Arabidopsis thaliana: one gene and its partners. The protein of the gene in region 1 interacts with the protein of each later gene in a pairwise test. Each region holds a gene or a part of one and is shown in the gene's direction. Other genes may lie near its edges.

The links.
Region 2: the proteins of AtVEX1 (region 1) and ABCI12 interact in a protein complementation assay, tested with the Arabidopsis thaliana proteins (one large-scale study listed by BioGRID).
Region 3: the proteins of AtVEX1 (region 1) and AT1G34640 interact in a protein complementation assay, tested with the Arabidopsis thaliana proteins (one large-scale study listed by BioGRID).
Region 4: the proteins of AtVEX1 (region 1) and AT2G32380 interact in a protein complementation assay, tested with the Arabidopsis thaliana proteins (one large-scale study listed by BioGRID).

Annotation. Positions count from the first base shown.
Region 1 is NC_003076.8:25,228,900-25,234,717, reverse strand, and holds AtVEX1 (Nodulin MtN3 family protein), read left to right. Parts: upstream 1-2,873; 5' UTR 2,874-3,190; coding exon 3,191-3,233; intron 3,234-3,326; coding exon 3,327-3,363; intron 3,364-3,433; coding exon 3,434-3,650; intron 3,651-3,872; coding exon 3,873-4,034; intron 4,035-4,050; exon of another isoform or gene 4,051-4,150; intron 4,151-4,164; coding exon 4,165-4,284; coding exon of another isoform or gene 4,285-4,347; exon of another isoform or gene 4,348-4,370; coding exon 4,371-4,514; 3' UTR 4,515-4,780; downstream 4,781-5,818. Other genes in the region: AT5G62865 (uncharacterized protein), read right to left, coding at 151-654; AT5G62860 (F-box associated ubiquitination effector family protein), read right to left, coding at 1,177-1,677, 1,931-2,086; AT5G62840 (Phosphoglycerate mutase family protein), read left to right, coding at 5,046-5,275, 5,574-5,818. UniProt on the Arabidopsis thaliana protein: Mediates both low-affinity uptake and efflux of sugar across the plasma membrane. May play roles in nurturing the male gametophyte.
Region 2 is NC_003074.8:7,600,201-7,605,907, reverse strand, and holds ABCI12 (cobalt ion transmembrane transporter), read left to right. Parts: upstream 1-2,008; 5' UTR 2,009-2,187; coding exon 2,188-2,550; intron 2,551-2,660; coding exon 2,661-2,777; intron 2,778-2,859; coding exon 2,860-3,096; intron 3,097-3,181; coding exon 3,182-3,346; intron 3,347-3,446; coding exon 3,447-3,522; intron 3,523-3,590; coding exon 3,591-3,655; intron 3,656-3,746; coding exon 3,747-3,899; 3' UTR 3,900-4,086; downstream 4,087-5,707. Other genes in the region: AT3G21590 (Senescence/dehydration-associated protein-like protein), read left to right, coding at 119-323, 393-466, 737-858, 986-1,152, 1,269-1,357; AT3G21570 (proline-rich nuclear receptor coactivator), read left to right, coding at 5,201-5,611.
Region 3 is NC_003070.9:12,686,126-12,690,744, reverse strand, and holds AT1G34640 (peptidase), read left to right. Parts: upstream 1-2,201; 5' UTR 2,202-2,317; coding exon 2,318-2,559; intron 2,560-2,948; coding exon 2,949-3,039; 3' UTR 3,040-3,193; downstream 3,194-4,619. Other genes in the region: AT1G34630 (uncharacterized protein), read right to left, coding at 3,310-3,606, 3,677-3,743, 3,837-3,917, 4,002-4,138, 4,264-4,471, 4,587-4,619.
Region 4 is NC_003071.7:13,744,921-13,750,069, reverse strand, and holds AT2G32380 (Transmembrane protein 97, Putative), read left to right. Parts: upstream 1-2,259; 5' UTR 2,260-2,339; coding exon 2,340-2,663; intron 2,664-3,095; coding exon 3,096-3,278; 3' UTR 3,279-3,504; downstream 3,505-5,149. Other genes in the region: GLR3.5 (glutamate receptor 3.5), read left to right, coding at 1-18, 101-378, 488-519, 640-1,049, 1,126-1,602; HDG3 (homeodomain GLABROUS 3), read right to left, coding at 4,230-4,583, 4,668-4,757, 4,845-5,107.

The DNA of each region.
Region 1 (5,818 bases):
TAAAATTAATTCAAAGTTGATTATATAAACAGAATGATTAAATAAGAAAACGCGACAGACTCCAAAAACGATGTAAACCAAACCAGTCAACCATTTTGACAGCCTTTTCCCCGCCGCCAGAAACGCAAACGCGTTTCTCACACGCGCCCACTAACTTTCAATGATCTCATTACGCGGCGTCAACGCAGACAACGACGTCGGCGAAATCGCCGGAGCTTTACCTGAGTAAACCGGGACAGAAGCGAATCGGGTCGAGAAGCTTCGTAATCCACCTAGTCCGACGTATTCATCCTCCTCGTCGTCGTCATCGAAGTTCAAAGAGTAACTCAAAGGATCGTATTGAAACTTCTCGCTTGCGTCCCAATCGCGGCCGCGTCGTGGATCGCGATTGAATCGACGAATGAAAGTCTTCCACCGTGGACCAGCAACGATTTCTGACCACTCTCGGATCTTCAAGGATGCTCGGATCCACCAACGTGGCTCGTCGCCGTGGTCGCCGCTGTGATTACTGTCATCGACGGTTCGAATTCGTCCCCAGGAGGAGTAACCAACGGCGGTGGAGCTTCTTGATCGGCGGAAGCTGGGGAAACAACAGCAACGTTGATCGTACCGGGTATCAGGATCTCGGGTTGGGTCCGACTGCGAAAGTTCCATGGGCCGAAACTCAGAGAAGTTTTTTCTTGGGTCAAAAGACTCGTGATGATAATATAACTTGATTCAAGTTTTAGCTGTAAAGGATTATGATTGGTCCTATTTATTATATGCACACTTGACACTTGTAATATAAATTAAGAAATTGTTATTTTTTCTATGTTATTATATGCACACTTGACACTTTTACGAATCATGGCTGTAAATATTAAAACCTTAGAAACTCAATTATCGATCAACACGATTGAGAATCATAAAAAGTGTTAAACAATTTCTTAGGCTGGTGAAAACGAGTCTTAGAAAAAATAAATATCTTGAGCTAGAATCCGTTATAAGATAGTTACTTTCCTAACAATGTTTTTAGGAATACACTTGATAAAACAAAATTGATATTTATTATAAAAACTACTATTCACTAAGGGAACGAGTTGAACAAATGTGATCCGGCGGGTACAACAAACTAACATTTCGGATCATAGTACGAGGGGTACAAAGATTGAGCAGATGTCACTGTCTTTGGCATTATCACAATCTCACCATTAGGACTGACACCAGCGATGCAATACCTAATTTCTCAAATATCATCATCTTAGACCATTCTTGTTGCTCAATATGATCTTCCATAATCCACATCTCTGCACTAGCTTTGGTGTAACGTATGCATCCTAATTTTCCTTGGTAGTTTACCAAAGTCAATTCATCGAAACTCACTTCACTGAGCTGCTGATTCATCTGCAGAGTTATGGGCATCTGAATACGATCAAAGCTTTCGTGTCTAACGTCGAACCTCACTAGCTCATAGAATTCGGGATCATCCCAGCTTTCTACATGTGCTATGTAATAGATAAACTCTTTGATACATAAACCACTACTCCTAGCTTCTGGAGAGTGATTCCAAATGCCTTGGATGTCAAGGCTCCTCCATTGCTGCTTCATTGGACCTCCCACTAATGTGAAAACTTGTTTCTCAACTGGATCATATCCGAACAATCCATCACACGAGTTGCTCCATCTATCGTGTTTTACCTCCGGTAATAAAATCGTTTTCCTATTGGTATGTTTATAGATCGAGCTTGACCAACAACAGAAGAGTCCTCGAAAATTATTGATACTTAAAATCCCAACTTCGCCCATGGTTTAATGTATAATTACTGTCTTTGTCTGGGTATATGAATGATATATCATTAGTAGGATAAGTAGAGGGCGAGAATAATGACCGAGTCATGATCAAGAGGGTGATACGAGATGACCACAGCTTCGATACACATTGGAACCTCACAAGTGACTTAACAGGGAGTCTCGAGAGTATATCGGTTATTACATCGAAAGGGATATGTATACCGTTTGAATTTTCTCTCTCGGAGATTTCGTTCTGACGTTGTTGTCGTCGTTTTGGAGATCGTGAGGTCTTCTTCTCTTGGCGTCCTCTCTTCATGGTGTCAGTTTTCTATTTCATTAAACTTGAACGAAGAAAAACACATATATATTTTTGGTTTTTGACATTTTTTGGGGGTTTATGACATTTGTTTTTTTGGATATTTTCTATATATTGGCAATACAAAAGAGTTTATAAGCTAAGCAGCCCAGTTTCATGTCCCATTAGGTTTTAGATCTCAAGTCTTAACCGACCTACATTTAAAGGGAAAACATTAAGAAACAATGAGAGATTAATTTAGTATTTTCGATTGATGCGCCTCACACTGAAACCTGAGGCTTGTGTGTTCTGTTTCTCTTCATCTTGATTCAATTCGTTTGCAGTTTCGTAGCTTGATGAGAAAGGAATATTAAGTGATTCATATATAGCAAAGTGTTTACATAGTAAACCTAAAAAGAGAGTAAAACTAAAATCTCTTCTCTTTATTCATCAATACAAGTTGCTATTAACAAAGTTTTTGGTTACAGCACATATTCACTTGCTTTGTATTATTGTATATACTATACAAGATGCTCTACACAACATTTACTATGACATGAATATGAGACAACAAACTCTTTATACATAATGAAGATGTAGTAATAGTAAATGTAATTATGTTTGAGAAAGAGAAAGAGAGAGAGAGAGAGAGACAGAGGTATTAATGTGAGTGAAGAGCCGGGTGTTTCTCATGCATGGGGTACGAGCGGAGTCAACGGCTTCATGGCTCAAATTTGAAACCACGTGTCATGCGTTTGTTACTCTACCCAGATTCTGCTGATTCACAGACTCACTATTAAAATCCACTTTTTCTTTTTTCTCTGTTCATAAAGCAGAAACCAAAAATAATCCAAATATCAAAAAACCAAAAACAGAACCTAGAAACCACACCAAAAAAAAAAAAGCTATTTCATCAAACAAACAAAACTCACATCACAAATCAGAAACAAACAAAAAAGAAACGCAGTACTAAAGAAAAAAATTATAAACAAGAATCATCGAAAAGAAGAATCGAAATCATCAACATATTTTGTTTCTCTTCTTCTTTTATTTTTATAAAATATAAATTAGTTCTTTGATAAAATCTGTAGAAGATAAAGAATTCTTCTTTAGAAACAAAGAAAAATGACGGACCCCCACACCGCCCGGACGATCGTCGGAATCGTTGGTAAGTCCTCCACAATTTACTCAAACATAAAGTTTAATTCAATCAACAACAAAAACATTTGCTCATGTCTTTGTTTGTCTGTTATATGTTTAGGAAACGTGATTTCTTTCGGCTTGTTCTGCGCTCCAATGTAAGCACACATGATGATTAAATCTTTTTTTGTTTTGTTGCATGCAATGACATATGTGAAAATTGTGCAGACCAACGATGGTGAAGATATGGAAGATGAAATCGGTCTCCGAGTTTAAGCCAGATCCATACGTAGCTACGGTTTTAAACTGCATGATGTGGACATTTTACGGACTTCCTTTCGTCCAGCCCGACAGTCTCCTCGTCATCACCATTAATGGAACTGGTCTTTTCATGGAACTCGTTTACGTCACCATCTTCTTTGTCTTCGCTACCTCCCCTGTCCGCGTAAGCCTTTAAAACCTCTAATTTCAACACGAATGATAAAAATATGTATATGCATTCTAAATTATTCAATTTATATAAACTTTTCAGACATAGGTTTGATAGCCTTTAAACCAATTGAAAATTAGTGAATTAGTGGTTGATGTTTGTTTTAGTTTGTTACTTCAAATGTAGATCGATATAGATTTTGATATGTGAAGTTATGATATATATATATGTGTACAGAGAAAGATCACAATAGCTATGGTTATCGAGGTAATATTCATGGCGGTGGTGATCTTCTGCACAATGTATTTTTTGCATACAACAAAGCAGAGATCAATGCTTATTGGGATCTTGTGCATTGTTTTCAACGTCATCATGTATGCTGCTCCTCTCACCGTCATGGTATGATGCCTCTTCTTTCTAAACTAATCACGGAAATGCAAAAATTGGATACTACACTATCAACTTTTTTCTTTTGTTCTCTTTATCTCGTGAATTTCCATTTAATGAGTTTAGTTATAATGTGGAACAGAAACTTGTGATAAAGACAAAGAGCGTGAAATACATGCCGTTCTTCCTATCATTAGCCAACTTCATGAACGGTGTCGTTTGGGTCATTTATGCATGTCTTAAATTTGACCCTTATATTTTGGTAAACCCTCATATATATCTTTATTGTTTGGAACTCAAATCCCTACATCTCAAAAAGGACTAATTATCTTCCATGCATGAAAACAGATTCCAAATGGTCTTGGATCGCTATCAGGAATAATCCAGCTTATAATATACATAACTTACTATAAAACAACTAACTGGAACGATGACGATGAAGATAAAGAAAAGCGCTATTCGAATGCTGGAATCGAACTTGGCCAGGCTTGATAGTTTCAGCTATTTCATCGTCTACGGTGCTTCATCGATAGGTTAAGATAGAATCAGAAGTGAGGTGAAGTTCTTATTACTATTATTTTGTGTAAGCCTATGTAGAAAAAAAATGAACAAGTGGAACCCTTAAGTTATGAAGTTTCTTGTGTATGAAGAAATGGGTTTTCAGTTTTTTTTTTTGGAAATGATTGTAACTTTCGCAAGTTGAATCTATGTACGTTGTTACAATTTTAGTTTTAATCGAAGTTTATTAGATTACTTTTATAACATTTTCTTTTTTGGAAACTGTAAGGAAAGAAACAAATTTGTCCTCTTAAGAGCAGAGTAATAAACAGAGTTTCTCTCTTGTTTTAGGTTTTTTTTTTGGTCCTGACCGGTTAAGAATATTTCCGAGAAAGTTACCGGTTTAGCTGATTCGATTTTAAAAACGAACCCATAATCTAAACCGGAATGTGCGATTCACAATTGTGGTTTTGTAACCTTAAAACACGGAGGACCAGAGATACCGTTTGAGATGACGATTGAATTATGTTATCATCATCACCGGCGGTCACCACCGCCTCACACTTACATCCTCCTCCGTCGCCGGAAACCTACCAAATTCCTCTGAATTTACTTTCCTCGCCGCATATTACCCGCCGAGACCTTTTCAAAACTCTCTCCGTATGTATTGCCACACCATCACTCTCCGTCTCCATCGCCGCACCAGCTAACGCACGCGGTCTCTTTCAAATGCCGCCTCTCCGGCTCTCTAATCGGTAATTTACTTTTTCAAAACCCTAGTTTTGAGTTTCTGTGCATACAACCAGATGTGCATCAATGTATACGTATCTTCGTCCTTTTGATTGGAACTAAGTTTAAAGGATCTTGTAAAGCTTTAGTAGATTAGTGAGATTCCAAATTCTTCACATTGAACTGTTAAGAGTGAATCTCTGACTTTTAACATTTTGATTCTTGTTCTTGATTCGTTTCCGGAGTTATTTAGCCTGGTTATCTTAGAAAATGGAGCTAATAATACACAATGTGTTTTTGGTTGTTGTTTTTTCTTGGATCAAGTTATTACCTTGTGAGAGCTGGGGAATCAGATTACGAAAGCTTAGGGATAATCAACACAAACCCGGTTGCCAAAACATCGGTAGATAGCGGATTATCAGAGAAAGGTAAGAAGCAGACTCTGAGAGCTGCGTTACAGTTAAAAGCAATGGGAGCTTGTGACCGAAACTGTTGGCTCTGGCCTTCCATAACACAGAGAGCTTATCAGGCTGCTGAAATCATCGCCGCCATCAATGGAATTAGTCGCA
Region 2 (5,707 bases), on another chromosome or scaffold:
AATATGATCAAATGGTAAGTGTTTACGTCATTACCTTCGATCATCCAACATTATATAGGAACGAGCCTCACATATAAACCAAACTTAAAAGTACTACTGTACTAAGAAAGAAGACACAATGTCCACATCAACCCAAGAAAACCAATCTGCCCAAGCGGTGAACGAAGAAGTTTTGTTGGAGAATCCCGATTACGGAGTCCAAATCGTCGATAAATCCGAACTGTTGGAGCTAGCCTTGAGTTTCTTAGGGGAAGACGGAGAAATCATGGAAAACCCTGAGTTTCTTGGAGATATCATGGGGGAGAAATCTTCAAGTACTTCAGGTAAGAACAACAATGAAATTGATTGGAAAAAGTTTGCACCGAAGGCTGAAGACTACAAAAATGGTGTAGCCAAGGCCATCGCGGTAGGAACAGGGCATATCATCAAGGGAATCTTCACTTGTAGCAATTCTTACTCTAAGAAGGTCTCATACATATAAGTCCCTCTCATGATGCTTATGAGTGTTAATAGATGATTGTGATTTGAATCGAAATATTTGTTGTAGTAAAGAATCATGAACTTCCAATTCAAACCCAACTTGTGGAACGACTTATGTGTTTTATTTACTAGTATAGATCATCTTATTTTTGTGTTGGATTTTTAAAAACTTTTATATGAACATGGAGATGTAAGACGCACATATTGTAGTATTTTTTATTATTAATATCGTTTTATTTTCTTACAACAAAAACAGATTCACGAGGAAGGAACGATTGCTGAAGAGGATGAGGAAAGAAGTGGTGACATATCACAAATTGATGGAGGTGGCAACAATGAAACTAATAAGAAGAATAAACTCAACAAAAATCTTCAAAGGTATTCATATTTTAATCTCTATCCCACAAAATAGTATATATTATACCAAACAATAAAATCTTGGTTCTTGTTCCTTCTTATAATGAACCAAATCTTGGTTATTTTGTTGGATGTAACATATACATAGAGCGGAGAAGCTGTGGAAGGTGAGCGAGGCTATAGGAATGGCGGCCTTAGAAGGTGGAGATTTGGTGAGCAGTTCGATGATAGCTCCGGTGGTTAAGTCGAAGTTAGGGAAGGCATTGTTATCCACTGCTCCAGGAGAGGTTATCTTGGCATCACTTGATTCTTTTCGTAAGTTACATAGAATAGCTCCATTAATTGTCAATCTATACTCATATTCATTTATTTTGAAGTTTTTGAGATCAAAATTTAAATAAAACAGATAAACACTTTGATGTGGTCAATAGATAATATAATTGGTGCTGCTGAAGCGGCAGAAATACAAACTCATTATGCCACATCCATGGCTGCTACTAGACTTGTGAGTAAGAGGTAAAAAGCTCACTTTGTGATCCTCAATTTTGAGAATGAATTATGTTTCTATAGTAACACACCGGTATTTGAATCAAAAGAATGATTATATCGGTAGAAAATAAAATCGAAGTTGGTAGAATTATTGTATAGCGTGCATACAATCTAATAATTAATTACCAAATAGTTTTGAGGGGTAGCTAATGATTTTTAGAGATAGGTTATCATTTTTATTTGTTAGGATTGTTTAGATGAGTTATATAACATGTTTACATGACCATCGAATTTTACAATTTTATACATTTATTGAGTTGAGTGTAACACATATTCACATTTTTGTGATGACCGCACCAAAGTTTTGGAGAGAAAGCCGGAAAAACCACCGGAATAATACTGGAAACAACGGGCAGCTTAGGCCGAACCGCCTGGAATATTCAAAAAGCTCTCGAGCCAACTTTTTCCATCACCTCAAAAATTGTCAAAAATGCTCCTAGGCAGTAATATGTTATCTATCTTAAAAGCTAAGTTACATTTTCATATGCTGTATTGTATCAAATTACTTAATCTTGGTTTTGGTGTGGCTATGACTCTACGAGAAAAGATTTATACAAAAAGAGTGTGAGAAAATCCAAAACGAGTCTATATATACATCAAATTCGAACAAGAACCGAAATCCAAATTTTGGTATACTTTGACTTTTGTTATTATGAGAAGTTGAGAACCACAGTCAACGTCCGACAAAACCAACAAGTACAACAGTTTAACACTTGACAGTTTACAGTATCTCTCTCTCTACCAAGTACAGAATTTCCCGCTCTAGGGCATATGTCTGATCCAATCCGAAATTGAAAACTCATGAATCACTCCAATCTTGCCAATCCAACAGTCTCCCTCACCGTAACCCTAATCCCCAAACACCCAATTCGTCATCTCACATCTCCAATTCCTAACCGGAACTTTACAAACCCTAAGCTTCTCTTCCCGCTCCGGCTTAATGAGACTCCTTCCTCCTCTCTCGCCGCGAAAAGGGTTTTCATTGTCAGAGCCACCGTCGACGGAGACGGTAAAACCGGTAATTGGGTGAACCGGTTACCAATTCCAGGACTTGGAGCCGAAAACGTCTTCAGATTGATTTCAAGCGCCACCGGAAGTCCCATCGGACAATTCATATCGTCTCCTGTGACATTTCTCCACTCGGTGGATCCCAGAATCAAATTGGTATATTGAATTCTTGATTCTTATCAAATTTCTAATCCAATTTTGTTAAAAAGTTTGAGTCTTTTTTTTTTTGTTAAAGCTTGAATTTTGGTATTTGTATATATGTGTAGGTATGGCTATTAACTCTAGTAGTTCTTCCAGCAAGAGCAAATCTAGTTGTGCGTTTAGGACTTGTTCTATGCACAGCTCTTTTGTCAATCCTTGTTCTCCCAAGACAAGTTTGGATAGTGAGTTCTGTTTCTCTGTCACAACTCTGTTTCTATATGTGATCTATCTGCTCTGCTGAGTTTCCTAACTTTTTCTGTAAAGGATCAATTGGCGAGAGTGTCGCTTCTTTCGGGTATTCTCTTCATAACATTGGGGCTAGGTTCAGATGGTGCACCTCCAATGCTTCAATCAAGAACACCACCATCTTCAATCACAAGCTTGCCTAATCTTCCCATGTCTTTAAGCGGTTATTCGTACATGTTACTGAAGCTTGGTCCTTTGCAATTCACAAGGAAAGGTTTGTCTGTTGGAAGCACAGCCGCATGCTTAACCTTTATTGTAAGTCGGTTTTTCGACTTCCGCGGTTTACCTATTTCCTTTCTTGATTAGATCACTTAATGGAACATTTGGTTTTTGGTCACAGATCTTCCAAAGTGCTAGTATTTGCCTTGCAACAACAACACCAGAGCAACTTGCACTAGCTCTACGTTGGTTCTTGTTCCCATTGACATATATTGGTGTTCCAGTCAGTGAAATTATCCTCACGCTACTGCTTTCACTGAGATTCATTAATTTGGTTTTCGATGAGGTAACGACTGTTCACTTATTCGCTTTAATATTATCAATCAGCCTAGTTATTCCAAGTCCTAAACCACATAATGGTACGTTGTGCATATGTTACATTGTAGGTCCGAAGTGTTTCACTGGGAATTGTATCGCGAAGAGTAAACTGGCAGCAGCTTACTGTTCTGGAGACACTTGATAGTAAGAATCTAAAAGTTTCTTCTCTCTTTCTATATACATCTCATCTTACAAGTGATCGCTTTTTGTAGTTTTCGCGTCATTCATACGCCGCATCTTCAAGAATATATTTCGTCATGCCGAACAAATATCACAGGTCAAATAGATTTCACTTATTATCATCTCATTGATTTGAGAATCAAATAAGAATTCTCTGTTGAAGAAGTTTGTAATTTATGTGCATGCAGGCCATGATTGTTAGAGGCTTCAGAGGAGAGAGCAGTAGCCACAAGATCTACTTCTTCTCTGGCTCTTCGAATAAGTTTGCAGATTTTGCATCAGTTTTGTGTTTAATCGGTGTAATCTCAACCGCACTCTTGTCTGAATACTTTCTTGTCTAATATTGATTCATACTAATCTTTATTCGAGCTAAACTTGGAACATAATTCAGAAGAAAAGATGATCTTGAGGTAGAATCTCTATCATGATCATCCAAATGTTGTATGTGATAAATTTCTTCCCCAATGTGTAAGATTTCGTTGGGGGTCCGGTTAGGGTAACACAATACAACTTTGTTATGCTCGCCGACCAAGAAACTCATCCCATCAGCAAACATATTCCAACTCGGATTAATGGTTTGCACTGTTGAGAACTTGCTCCATGAGATGACTGAATCCATACTAGTTGTCACCCATACATTTAAGTCTTGTGAATGTGTTTCATCATTATAATAACCTAACACTAACAGACAAAGTTTTCTATTTTTGCACGAAGAAATTATACCTAATGAAACAAATACCCTTTAGAAAAAGTGTAAGAAATTGCCACATTTCTTCTTTCAAATTACGTCAAAAATACAATCTATACTTAAAGAGTTAAGAAAGATGATCCCAAGCCAACCAAGGGCGTGATCTCTTCAATCTCACTCGATAAAGTCTGGTACACCCTTGTGTGATTTGATATGGTTTTCGTGTCCAGAAGAGACAAAGGCAGACGAAAACAGTGTCTCACATCTTTTTCTAGAAAATAACGGGTCAATGTCTTCCCAAGCCACTCGTGCTTGCTTCTATAAACAACATCAATCTTGAATTCTACCAAAAACACTCAAACTATATTTCGGCAATATAGTTTCTTGCATTGGAAGCAATCACTTGTTTCCATCATCACAGCTTGAAAAAGATTTGTCATTGGAATTAGTTCATATTTACAGTTCTCATTTAAAACATGTCAATATATGTAGTCCAATGCTTGTTTGATTAATCCCATAGAGCAACATTACATTAATTCAGCAAAAATTAGATTTGTGGAAAATCAAATTTAAAAATGGAAAAACGGACAGGGAAACAAACTAAATTAAACAAAAAGAAAAATAGAATTATGTGTTTAGGTTACAGATGCATCGTTACGAGGAAACGAAGCTCTGACAGAGAAGCCATTTTCTCCATTTTTGTCATCTCTTCTAATTTCTTCTATTTATTCCAGTATTCCATTAACCAGCAAAAAAACTCATAAATTAGATTATTTGTAGATTTTAACCAATTTACAAAAATTTCGAGCAGGAATCGAAGAAAAGGACTATTTGACCCTTTTCTTCTTCCTCCTCCCTCATTTCTACCACCACGATTTCTTCTTTATTTATTAGCCGCCGAAGGGAATTCCTCCGGCGCCATTTTTTATAATTTTTTTGTTTTTATCTTTAGAGATGGGAACCGAAATTATCAGGCCTCAAAATTGTTTGGTTGACCGGATGAGAGATTCTCCGGCGACTTTTTTTAACTCCCGGAGGAATCATTTTCACCGGAAACCGCCTCTCAAACCTGATCAAAGGAGAAGATTCGGTTCCGATGAGTTCAGAACGACGACAAAGAACATTGTTAGGAGAAAAGGAGAGTCTTTTGACTCATTCTCAAACATCAAAGTTCGTAAATATTCACCGGAGGTTTCTGCCGATGATATTTATGCCGGATCTTCGATATTCGCTGTTTCCCCAGCGCCAAGCTCGTTACCTTTGCCGTCTTTCTCGAAGAAGAAAGCGAAAAGCCAGGTTGTTGTCGTTTCCATTGATGACTCGGCCTCTCAAGATCTCCGGAGACTTCTCCGGCTAAAGTTTTGAGACTATCAATTAAACGAAAAAGTTATCGAAATCGTCAGTTATTTAACGGTTAATATATAAAATCTAGGAATCGTCTCCGTTACTGTTTTTTAATCT
Region 3 (4,619 bases), on another chromosome or scaffold:
TAATAAAAAATAAATTTTAATGGAAATATAGTAATAATAAATAAAAGATACTAAATTTCAAATATTCAATGGTTCCGTAGAATAATGTTTTTTAATTACTTGATAAATTATTTATACAAAATTAATTAGGTGATAGTTCCTCAGTATTCCTCAAAAATTAAAAGCCACCCAATATATTTTTGTAAAACATTATGCATTACTAAATAAAATTTTATTTTTTAATTAAAAAGATATAATGAGAATCAAAATTTCTTCTTCTCATCTTTGTTTGTTTCTTTGGTCATTTTTAAGAGCTAAATCATCTTATCATTTGTATTTAAATTGTTTTTTCTGCATATATGATTCGAATTTATCAAAAACAAAATGTTGAAGATGCATCCAAAATAATTGAGAAGGGATTAAGTGATATTATTACCCAGGTCTAGTCGACTTAAATGATTTTCAAAAAATATGATGATCTGTTGTTCTTACAAACTCAGATTCCTAGCTAGTGTAGAGCTTCCAGAGTTCTCATTGTGTCTTGTTTGTGTCTTTACGAGAGGTTTGGAACAAATTTCTTGATCTTATCGTTAGGTTTGATCCCACACGCGAAGCAATATAAAGATTGTGATTTTTAGTATTGTGCAAGAATTCACAAAACACATAAAAATATCTTGTGATGATCAACAAGACTAGTAAACAAGTCTATCAACCTTACATGTAGAAGTGCACTGGTCGAATAACGAGGATGAGATTTGTAGGTCAAAACTGTAATTGATGGTAAATAAACATTGGCGATCATGATGTTATAAGGGGTATCAAAACCAAACTTAATTGAGTGTTTAGCAATGTGGCATCACAGTACCATTGGGGGAATCAGTATTATATTTTACTTTGTTACTGAGAAAATATTCAAATATTGGTTAGTAGATATAGACTAAAATAGTTACCGAGGAATAGATATTATTAAGATGTGACCACACTTTCTCATGAACTTTTGTAGCAAGTTCATAGAAAAACATGTGTAAAAGAAACATGGTGTTGCTATTTAGCCGCATATATATGAGGGCTTAATCTCGTCGCTATTTAACAATAGAAATAGTCGACGTCATTTGTTTCTACCAAGGGACTTAAACTTGTCCTTTGTCAATGCGTAGTTTTGTGGCTTCGGATTTTAAAAAATTGTTTCTGAATTTATATAGATCTAACAACCTTTGTAAGATTAATGCTTTAGATACTAATATACTATCAATGAAAAAGAGTATTTACTTTGTTTTCACATTTATAGGAAAAAATTAGAAATCTTCATTTACAAAACGACATTCGTAGTTTGAGGTTATTACTTTTTGGCGAAAAGAAAAGAAAAGTTTGAGGTTATTACTAACGATGCCAACTATCAAAACAAAATTTATGTTAGTAACCAATTATGTGGGTGTTTGGTTGAGTAGTAACTTTCCTTTTTACTGTTGTTCGGCAGTAGCTATAAACTTTTTGTTGTATGATTACATGTGTTGGTTGTAGATGTAGAGTTTGATTGGTAAAGTTAATTAAATATTGAGGATTCAAAATTTAAGTTTATCAATTTAAAATTATAACATAATATTAAATGAGATAACAAATAAATAATAAATAGTAAATTTCATATGTATAACACATTGTTTGGTCAATTTTATAATTTTTTTTACCTCAAAAATATGATAAGATTTTTTTGTTGTCTTATGTTTAAAGTACAACGTACTCATATAATCTTATGCTTGTGAAAGTTAAAAATAATTTCTGTCCCGCTTGATGATTATGTCATTTTATTCTACAAATTTTTTTTGGCAACCGATATTAATTAGAATTCAAAGAGTTAATCCGAGAGATATTGTTTATATATATGGTATGATGCAATTCGGTATAATTCTTTCATACCAAATTATCCGTTTTTACATTTACACTACAAAAAATTAAAAATAAAGAAAAGTTTGTGAATTCCTTCTTGTCATTCCAAAATTTATCTTTTTTTTCCTAATTTTTCGGTATAATTCTAATTACTCTATGATCAAAACCATAAATAAAGATAAAACTGAACAAACACAAAAACTTGGATCCAAAAATACGGTTGGGACATTACCACATTTATGGCGGCATTCAATTCAATTGATTGCCACGCATTTTTCCAAAAGAATATACCCTATATAAAAAAATCCATTAAATATTATCTTTAACACATAAATGAAATCTTTCTCCTACATCCTACATAATCTGTGAATCTTCTTTCCATGTTTACACTGTTATAAAGCAACTTCAACTAATCCCGTTTTAAATATAAGCTATCTACTCTCTCTTAGCCATAATGGGAAACGAAGCAGCACTAAGATCATCAATGGTAGGTCTTGCAGTGGTGATGGTAGTTGTATGGTTATGGACACAGTCTTTAAAGAAGACGGTTGTTACTTACGCCGTCGGTATTTCTCTTATTGGCGGCATACTTTTGCCGGATTGGGACTTCTTTGATCGGAGTTTCTCTCGGTGGGGCTATCCTGTCACCGCCGAGGAAAGATCAGCCGCTCTCGCCCGCAAATCTCATCCTTCAAGGTTACTTGTTTATCTTATCTCAATATCAAACTAGTTGTTTTATCATATCATTATATATTAATCTTTGAATTATTAGATCTAAATTTTGGTTTAGCTTTATTGCCTTAAAACCTATTGGATAAACATAAATCATACATACAATTTTTTTTTTGTCAACCGATATTAATTTGGATTCAAAAGAGCGAATCTCAAACCATACATACAATGTTAGGTTCCATTTGCAATGTATGTATTATTGTATATCTACGAATTAGGTGTACAAGTTATGATTGAATTTGTTTATTTTCGTGAATATTTTCTATTGATTTTAATTGTTAGATCCAAATTTTGGTTTGGTTTACTGGCCTAATTAATGGATAATGGATACATCTTTGGACCAAGTAATGCAGGTTTAGAGTGTACCCTATGAGGATGGTTTTATACGGCACGGTCTATGGATATGCAGTGTATAGGTGGTGGATGTTCGTATCAAATTATTGAAGCCATATTGTATTTACTTGGTCCATCTTTTTTATGGTTTAGTGTTGTTGATTAACAAAATATTTAGCTTCGTTTTATTTTAACTTTGTAGAACATGTAAGACTACCAGATTACATATTGGTGTGTCCACATAAGATGGACAAAAATTGTCAAATGGATTGTGGTATACAAAATTGACCCAAAACAAAACTCCTAGAGACTCTAAATGAGCATTCTACCACCAAATTCTGTCCCACATCAGAAAGATCTTTAGGTTAAAAGTGAATGTCTCTAGGTTGTTTCGCAAGAAGGAGCAGGAGGGGGAGGAGGAACACCGAAGACCCAATCTAGTACGTTCAAGTATTTTGATCGAAATACGTCTCTTTCTTGTGCGTAACAATGCATTATAATGGCTGTCGAAACGCTGAACACAACCACATCCGCTCTTCTTAAACTCTTGGGCGGTCGAATGTATCCTGCCTCTGTCATGCAAGTAAAGAAGCTCTCTATCGCCCTCGCTAAGCAGTATAGTGATATCTCTATCCTTCTGCTTTTCTTCTCAATAGCTAAAGCCAGACCTGTTGGGAACTGCAGGAGAAGCCTAACGTTAGGTATTATATTAACAATGATATGTGATGAGAATGGCTTTCGTTTGTACTGTTGCTATGGCCACAAGCGGTATGTTGCATGTCTCAAAAGTGCGGAATAGTAGACAAGTCCAAGCCCTATTTTACATCATTATAGAGATGGTCTAAGTTCCAACTTCAAGTGAGAACAAAACAAAAATCGATAAGAGCCTTCCAAGAATTGATTCTAACCAGGCAGAAGAGCAGTAAGTAGCGAGAAACAAACTTGATCTCGCTGTGCCCAGAAGACCCTTGCCAAGTATAGAGTATTGCCTGTGATGAAACATATTATGAGGTGATGAATAAAATCAGAGGATATATACCATTCAATGAGCAGTTTAGACATAAACCTATTACTTTTTTAGCAGGTCTTGACGATGGACTATTAGCGCTGGAATCAAATACACAGGGACATAGACAGGTAACGCCCTCTTGTAAGCTTGAAGGAAAAATGTAACACCATGCTTAACACATGACTCATTTCCATGTATTATCTGCAAGTAACAACATAAGTATTGCGTAAAACCATGCATGCAGACTCATTGACGATACATCAACTATCGACAAATGCTTTGTTCGTCTTAACAACCCAAAAAAGATAGTATCATAGAAAACTTACCGTACAGGGGACTTTCATGGTAGGATCCAGTTTGATATCAACTCCAACAGACTTGTAATATTTCTCAATCGCTCTTAAATTAGTGAACGGTTGCGCGGTTGCGATATCTTTTACGCCTTGTAAGATTGAAAGATCCTTCCCACCTTGTTTGTTAAGGAAAGACTTGTACGATGAAGGAAGGCTTTCTTGTTTCAAAATGTAAGCAGACCTGAAAAAAAAACACAAAATCGCTAATCTAAGAATCTAATAACAACCAAGAACCTAGTAACAACTAGCTGAACCACAAAATTTAATATCTTTGTAGAGAGAAAGAGAAAGCATACAAAATCTGTGAGGAAGAGAGACACATGAGGAAT
Region 4 (5,149 bases), on another chromosome or scaffold:
AGTGAAGTTGCTGCAAATGTGAGTCCTACTTCTTCTTCTATTTTACTCAATCAATTACACGAAACAGTATACTTATGTTTTGTTCTATTTATGTCTCTAGATTTTCGATGTAGCTGTTGGGGATGTTACCATCATTACAAACAGAACCAAGTTTGTAGATTTCACGCAGCCATTTATAGAATCAGGGCTTGTGGTGGTAGCTCCAGTGAAGGGGGCCAAGTCTAGTCCTTGGTCCTTCTTGAAGCCATTCACTATAGAGATGTGGGCTGTGACCGGTGCCCTTTTTCTCTTTGTTGGAGCCGTCATCTGGATTCTTGAACATCGATTTAACGAAGAATTCCGCGGACCTCCTAGGCGTCAAATCATTACAGTCTTCTGGTTAGTTCCATACAATTATTGAATCGACACAAAACTCATATGTATTAGTTTAAGCTCAAGTGCTAAAGCTTTGCTTTACCCCCTTCCTTTCTCGTCTTCAATATTGCAGGTTTAGCTTCTCAACAATGTTCTTCTCTCACAGTATGCACACAATTACATTTAAGATCATACGAAAACATCAAAGAGAAGAAACTCTCGGTTCTTTTCTTTTGTTACCAAGGTCGCAAGGTGTTTTATTCTTCTTCCTTTGTTGATCTTCAGGGGAGAATACGGTGAGCACGTTGGGAAGGTTTGTGCTACTCGTATGGTTATTTGTGGTTCTAATCATCAACTCAAGCTACACAGCCAGTCTCACTTCAATCCTCACCGTTCAACAGCTAACATCTCGGATAGAAGGAATGGACACTTTAATAGCAAGCAACGAACCCATTGGAGTCCAAGATGGTACCTTTGCGTGGAAATTTCTGGTCAATGAACTTAACATAGCTCCATCAAGAATCATTCCGCTTAAAGACGAAGAAGAATATCTCTCTGCTCTTCAACGTGGTCCCAGAGGCGGTGGCGTGGCAGCCATTGTCGACGAGCTTCCTTACATTAAAGCTCTCTTGTCAAACAGCAACTGCAAGTTTCGAACAGTTGGACAGGAATTCACTCGGACAGGCTGGGGATTTGTATGTGAAAACCAACTTCAATTTTTTAAGATCAGTCTCTGTTAAAACTTTGCTTAATGGATCTCGATTCTTGCAGGCGTTCCAGAGAGACTCTCCTCTAGCTGTGGACATGTCGACAGCGATCCTGCAACTGGCTGAAGAAGGAAAACTCGAGAAAATCCGCAAGAAATGGCTTACCTACGACCACGAATGTACAATGCAGATTTCAGATACAGAAAACTATCAAATATCGGTACAGAGTTTCTGGGGACTCTTCCTAATATGTGGCGTCGTTTGGTTCATTGCACTCACACTCTTCTGCTGGAAAGTTTTCTGGCAATACCAACGGTTAAGACCAGAAGAGAGTGATGAAGTACAGGCGAGGAGCGAGGAGGCTGGTTCTTCTAGAGGGAAAAGTTTGAGAGCAGTGAGTTTCAAGGATTTGATCAAAGTTGTTGATAAGAGAGAAGCAGAGATTAAGGAGATGCTTAAGGAGAAGAGCAGTAAGAAACTCAAAGATGGCCAAAGTTCAGCTGAGAATTCGCAGTCGAAAGATCACGAAACTCCACAGTGAGATATATAATAACGAGTTACACAATTTGTTTAATGACTGCAGATATAACATTACACTTAGAAAGGTACATAGATTTATTACATAGATAGAGATAAAAATGCAAAACAATTTCCCTACCATCTTGCAAGACGAACAAGTGAACTGAGTCATGGTTTCAATACCAAGTAGTCTCAACATTTTAAAAGATCTAAAACGTAACACTAAGAAATGTACCTTGCTAAAGAATTTGCTTAAGGCAATGCAAGGTTGTAACTTGCAAGTGTGTTTACGAATATGATTCCTCCAAGGCGTGAGAGATAAGGAATTTTGAAATGATCATGTCTTTAGACTCCCTGAAAAATAAAAAATAAAACATCTGCAAATTCAAGAGTCGAAAGTTATTAGAACCGTAGAGTTCACATTTTTCTAGACTATGTAGAGGATGTGAAACTTATTCAAATGTTTAGAACTTAAGATTTTGTAACAGATCATGGGCTCTCTTAATTAGTGTAGTCCTTCGGGTGACTATTTTTTCTGGATACTATATACATCCTCCGAGGAAGATTATGGGCCTAAGGCCCGGTAGTGTTCGAATTTACCACTGAATCAAACCGGAAAAATGGTAGCCGTTTAAACCGGTTCGCTTTAATTTAGATTTGGCCAATTATTAAGTAGCCGGCTCTTCGTTTCCGCGGTCAACGACAGATTAAAGCAGAGAGAAAAACAAAATCCATTGAAGAAGGAGAAGAAGAAAAAAAATGGGAGCATTTTGCAAGTTGATCGATGCGGTTCTCTTCTTATACTTTGCTCTCATGGCGGTAATTGCGCCGCTTATCGACGGTCAAACGAGTCTTCCCGGCGATATCTTCCCGGCGTTTATCGTCGATCTGAATCGCTGGTACATTGATGAATTTGGAGATTATCTAGTCAAAGAGAAGCCGCATTTCCTAGTCGGACTCGTCTGGCATGAGCTTTTGCTTCTTTGGCCGCTCTCAATCGTCAACGTCTACGCAATTCTCGCTGGGAAATCGTGGTTTGGTACCACCTCAATGGTGTACGGAGCTTCCGTCGTGACTTCTATGGTACATTTAGATCTTAATCTCGCTGTTTCTGATCAATTTGGATATAACGTGTTTGATTTAGAGTAAGATTTTGTTGATTTATGGATCTGAAATCTGAGATTAATGAAGATTATAGGAGAAATGATTATTGGTGATCAATGTTAAAGTCTGTGAAACTGGACCATTACAAAGTATGAACTAGGAGCAGACTAGTGAAATTTGTATAATGCTTGATTCAAGATTTCATTTGGTTCCCTAAAATCACAACATTGTATGTTGATGAGGGAGAGAGATTTTGAGTTTCTACTATGTTGAATGACTAGTTTCATGGTTATTAGAATTAGTAACGTTATCGAACTTATACTTATTGTTCTGCAATGTGAATCTTTCCGCATTCATTGCTAATATGCCTTGTGATGAAGAATCTGATATTGAGTATTCATTACTTATTAGGCTGCTATACTGGGAGAGATGATAGGATCAGGGAAGGCATCTGAGAAATTGTTGATGATGTATGTGCCATTCATGGGTGTTGGTATTCTAGCTCTTCTTCGTGGTCTTCTTTCTCAATCCAACAAAAGTGGTGGAGCTGTTGGCAAGAGACCTGCTATTTTGGCCAGGAGAAAGCGTGCTTGAGGTACACTTGATGATCAGCAAGTGTATCTTTTGACTCTGAGAATTTCTGCTATAGGTGGATTTGGCTTTTCAAACAGAAAATTTTGAACCTTTGTGATGTATTCTTCCTGTTTTTTTAGCAATATCATGTCATCTGTGTTCTTGTTTGAAATTAAATGAAGTTAAACTGAAAATATTTTACAGTTCACTTCACCAAAAGGTCTACATTGTTGGGTCTTGACAAATCACACGTTGTGATTCCCATTCCCAAAAGGTCTACATGTTCAGCACAGATTTCTTAGTCTTGTTGGGTTTGGTCAATCTAAAACCATAGGCAACGCGCAACAGCCAAAAACTCTTTAAGCTCTCTTGCAAAACAGAGAGTCTTGGGAAGAAAAGGTGTGAAGTTTTGATAAACCAAACTACAGAAATAGACAACAAAAACAATACAAAAGAAATATCCATACTCTAGAAGAAGATCTAAAGTCAATAGAAAGAAAACAAAAAACAAATTTGAAACTCAAATAGAGAAAAAGAGTACTCAATAACTTCATAAAGGTTTCCAAGTCCAACAATGACAAGGAAACAAACAGACTCAACTGAAACAACGAAAGGTTCCATGTCCAACAATGACAAGGAAACAAACAGACTCAACTGAAATAACAAAAGGTTTCCAAGTCCAACAATGACAAGGAAACCAAAGACTCGAATGAAATAACAAAAGGTTCCAAGTCCAACAATGACAAGGAAACCAAAGACTCAACTGAAATAGCAAAAGGTTCCAAGTCCAAACAATGACAAGGAAACAAAAGACTCAAATGAAAGGAAAAGATAGTTGTTTTTTCCATCTTGAATGGGTTTATTCCAGGGCTAGTCAAATCCCGAACCTCGTAAAAAACCAATCTCCTTGAGGTTCGTTCTTGACTCCTCCCCTTTTGAAGCTCTCCAATAGATTACCGAAATGGGGGTGGTTCAAGCAGTCTGACAAGGAAACAAATCTTTGATCCTCCGCACGGTTGTACGAATCAGATTCTCAGTAGTTGCAACAGAGCTAACACTCAGCCTAGCCTCAGGACCTGACTCAACCAGCATTTGGAAGGAAATGGTCAAAAGTGATCCTCCTTCTTTTCCTCCAGGCTTACCCGTACCATCTGGAAAAATAGCAAAACCAGAAGGCAGGATCACCACAAAGTCAGGATCACCACCTCCATGGAGAGTAATATCCATTGATGTCATATCAACAGGCGCATAAAGCACAAATGAAGCTGTTGGGTCAGTAGAAGTCTCTTGAACTATCATCATCTTGCTCTTGCTAGTGTGTCCATGCTGTAACCAATAATAACATCAGTCACAGACCAAAAGATATAATATATATCACATTTTCCAAAATACAAGTTAGGTATTTTATACCCGGAGTAAACTTGCACAGTTCCTTTTGTCTATCCCATTCGTAATCTCTGCTATCTTGTGCATCATCTCTCCGTTGCAGAGAACATCCCACTGCAGATACATATCTCAAAACATGTTATATAAAGAACATAAAAAAAAAAGGAAGTCCTGTCCTAAGTAGTAAGTAAGTACGTATACATTGTGTCGGTGAGTAGCCTCTCTGAGGAAGTCAAAGACAGTGTTAGGAGGAGCAGGAAGCCAAAAGGAAGTGGCTGCACAAATAATGACACCGGGAGGCTTTCCTGGATCATTCACGCTCTTCATTGTCATCACTCTGATATCTTCTCCTTCAACACCAGAAAATATTGTAGACCCCGTCGCATTGGTCATTCCAGCAAAGAAGGTTCTCGCAATCCGCTCAGCTATCTTCAGCATGCTCATCTTTCCATGGTTAGTTAGCGCTGCAAAACATCACAAAACGTTTAAGAAAAGAAAACAGAGAA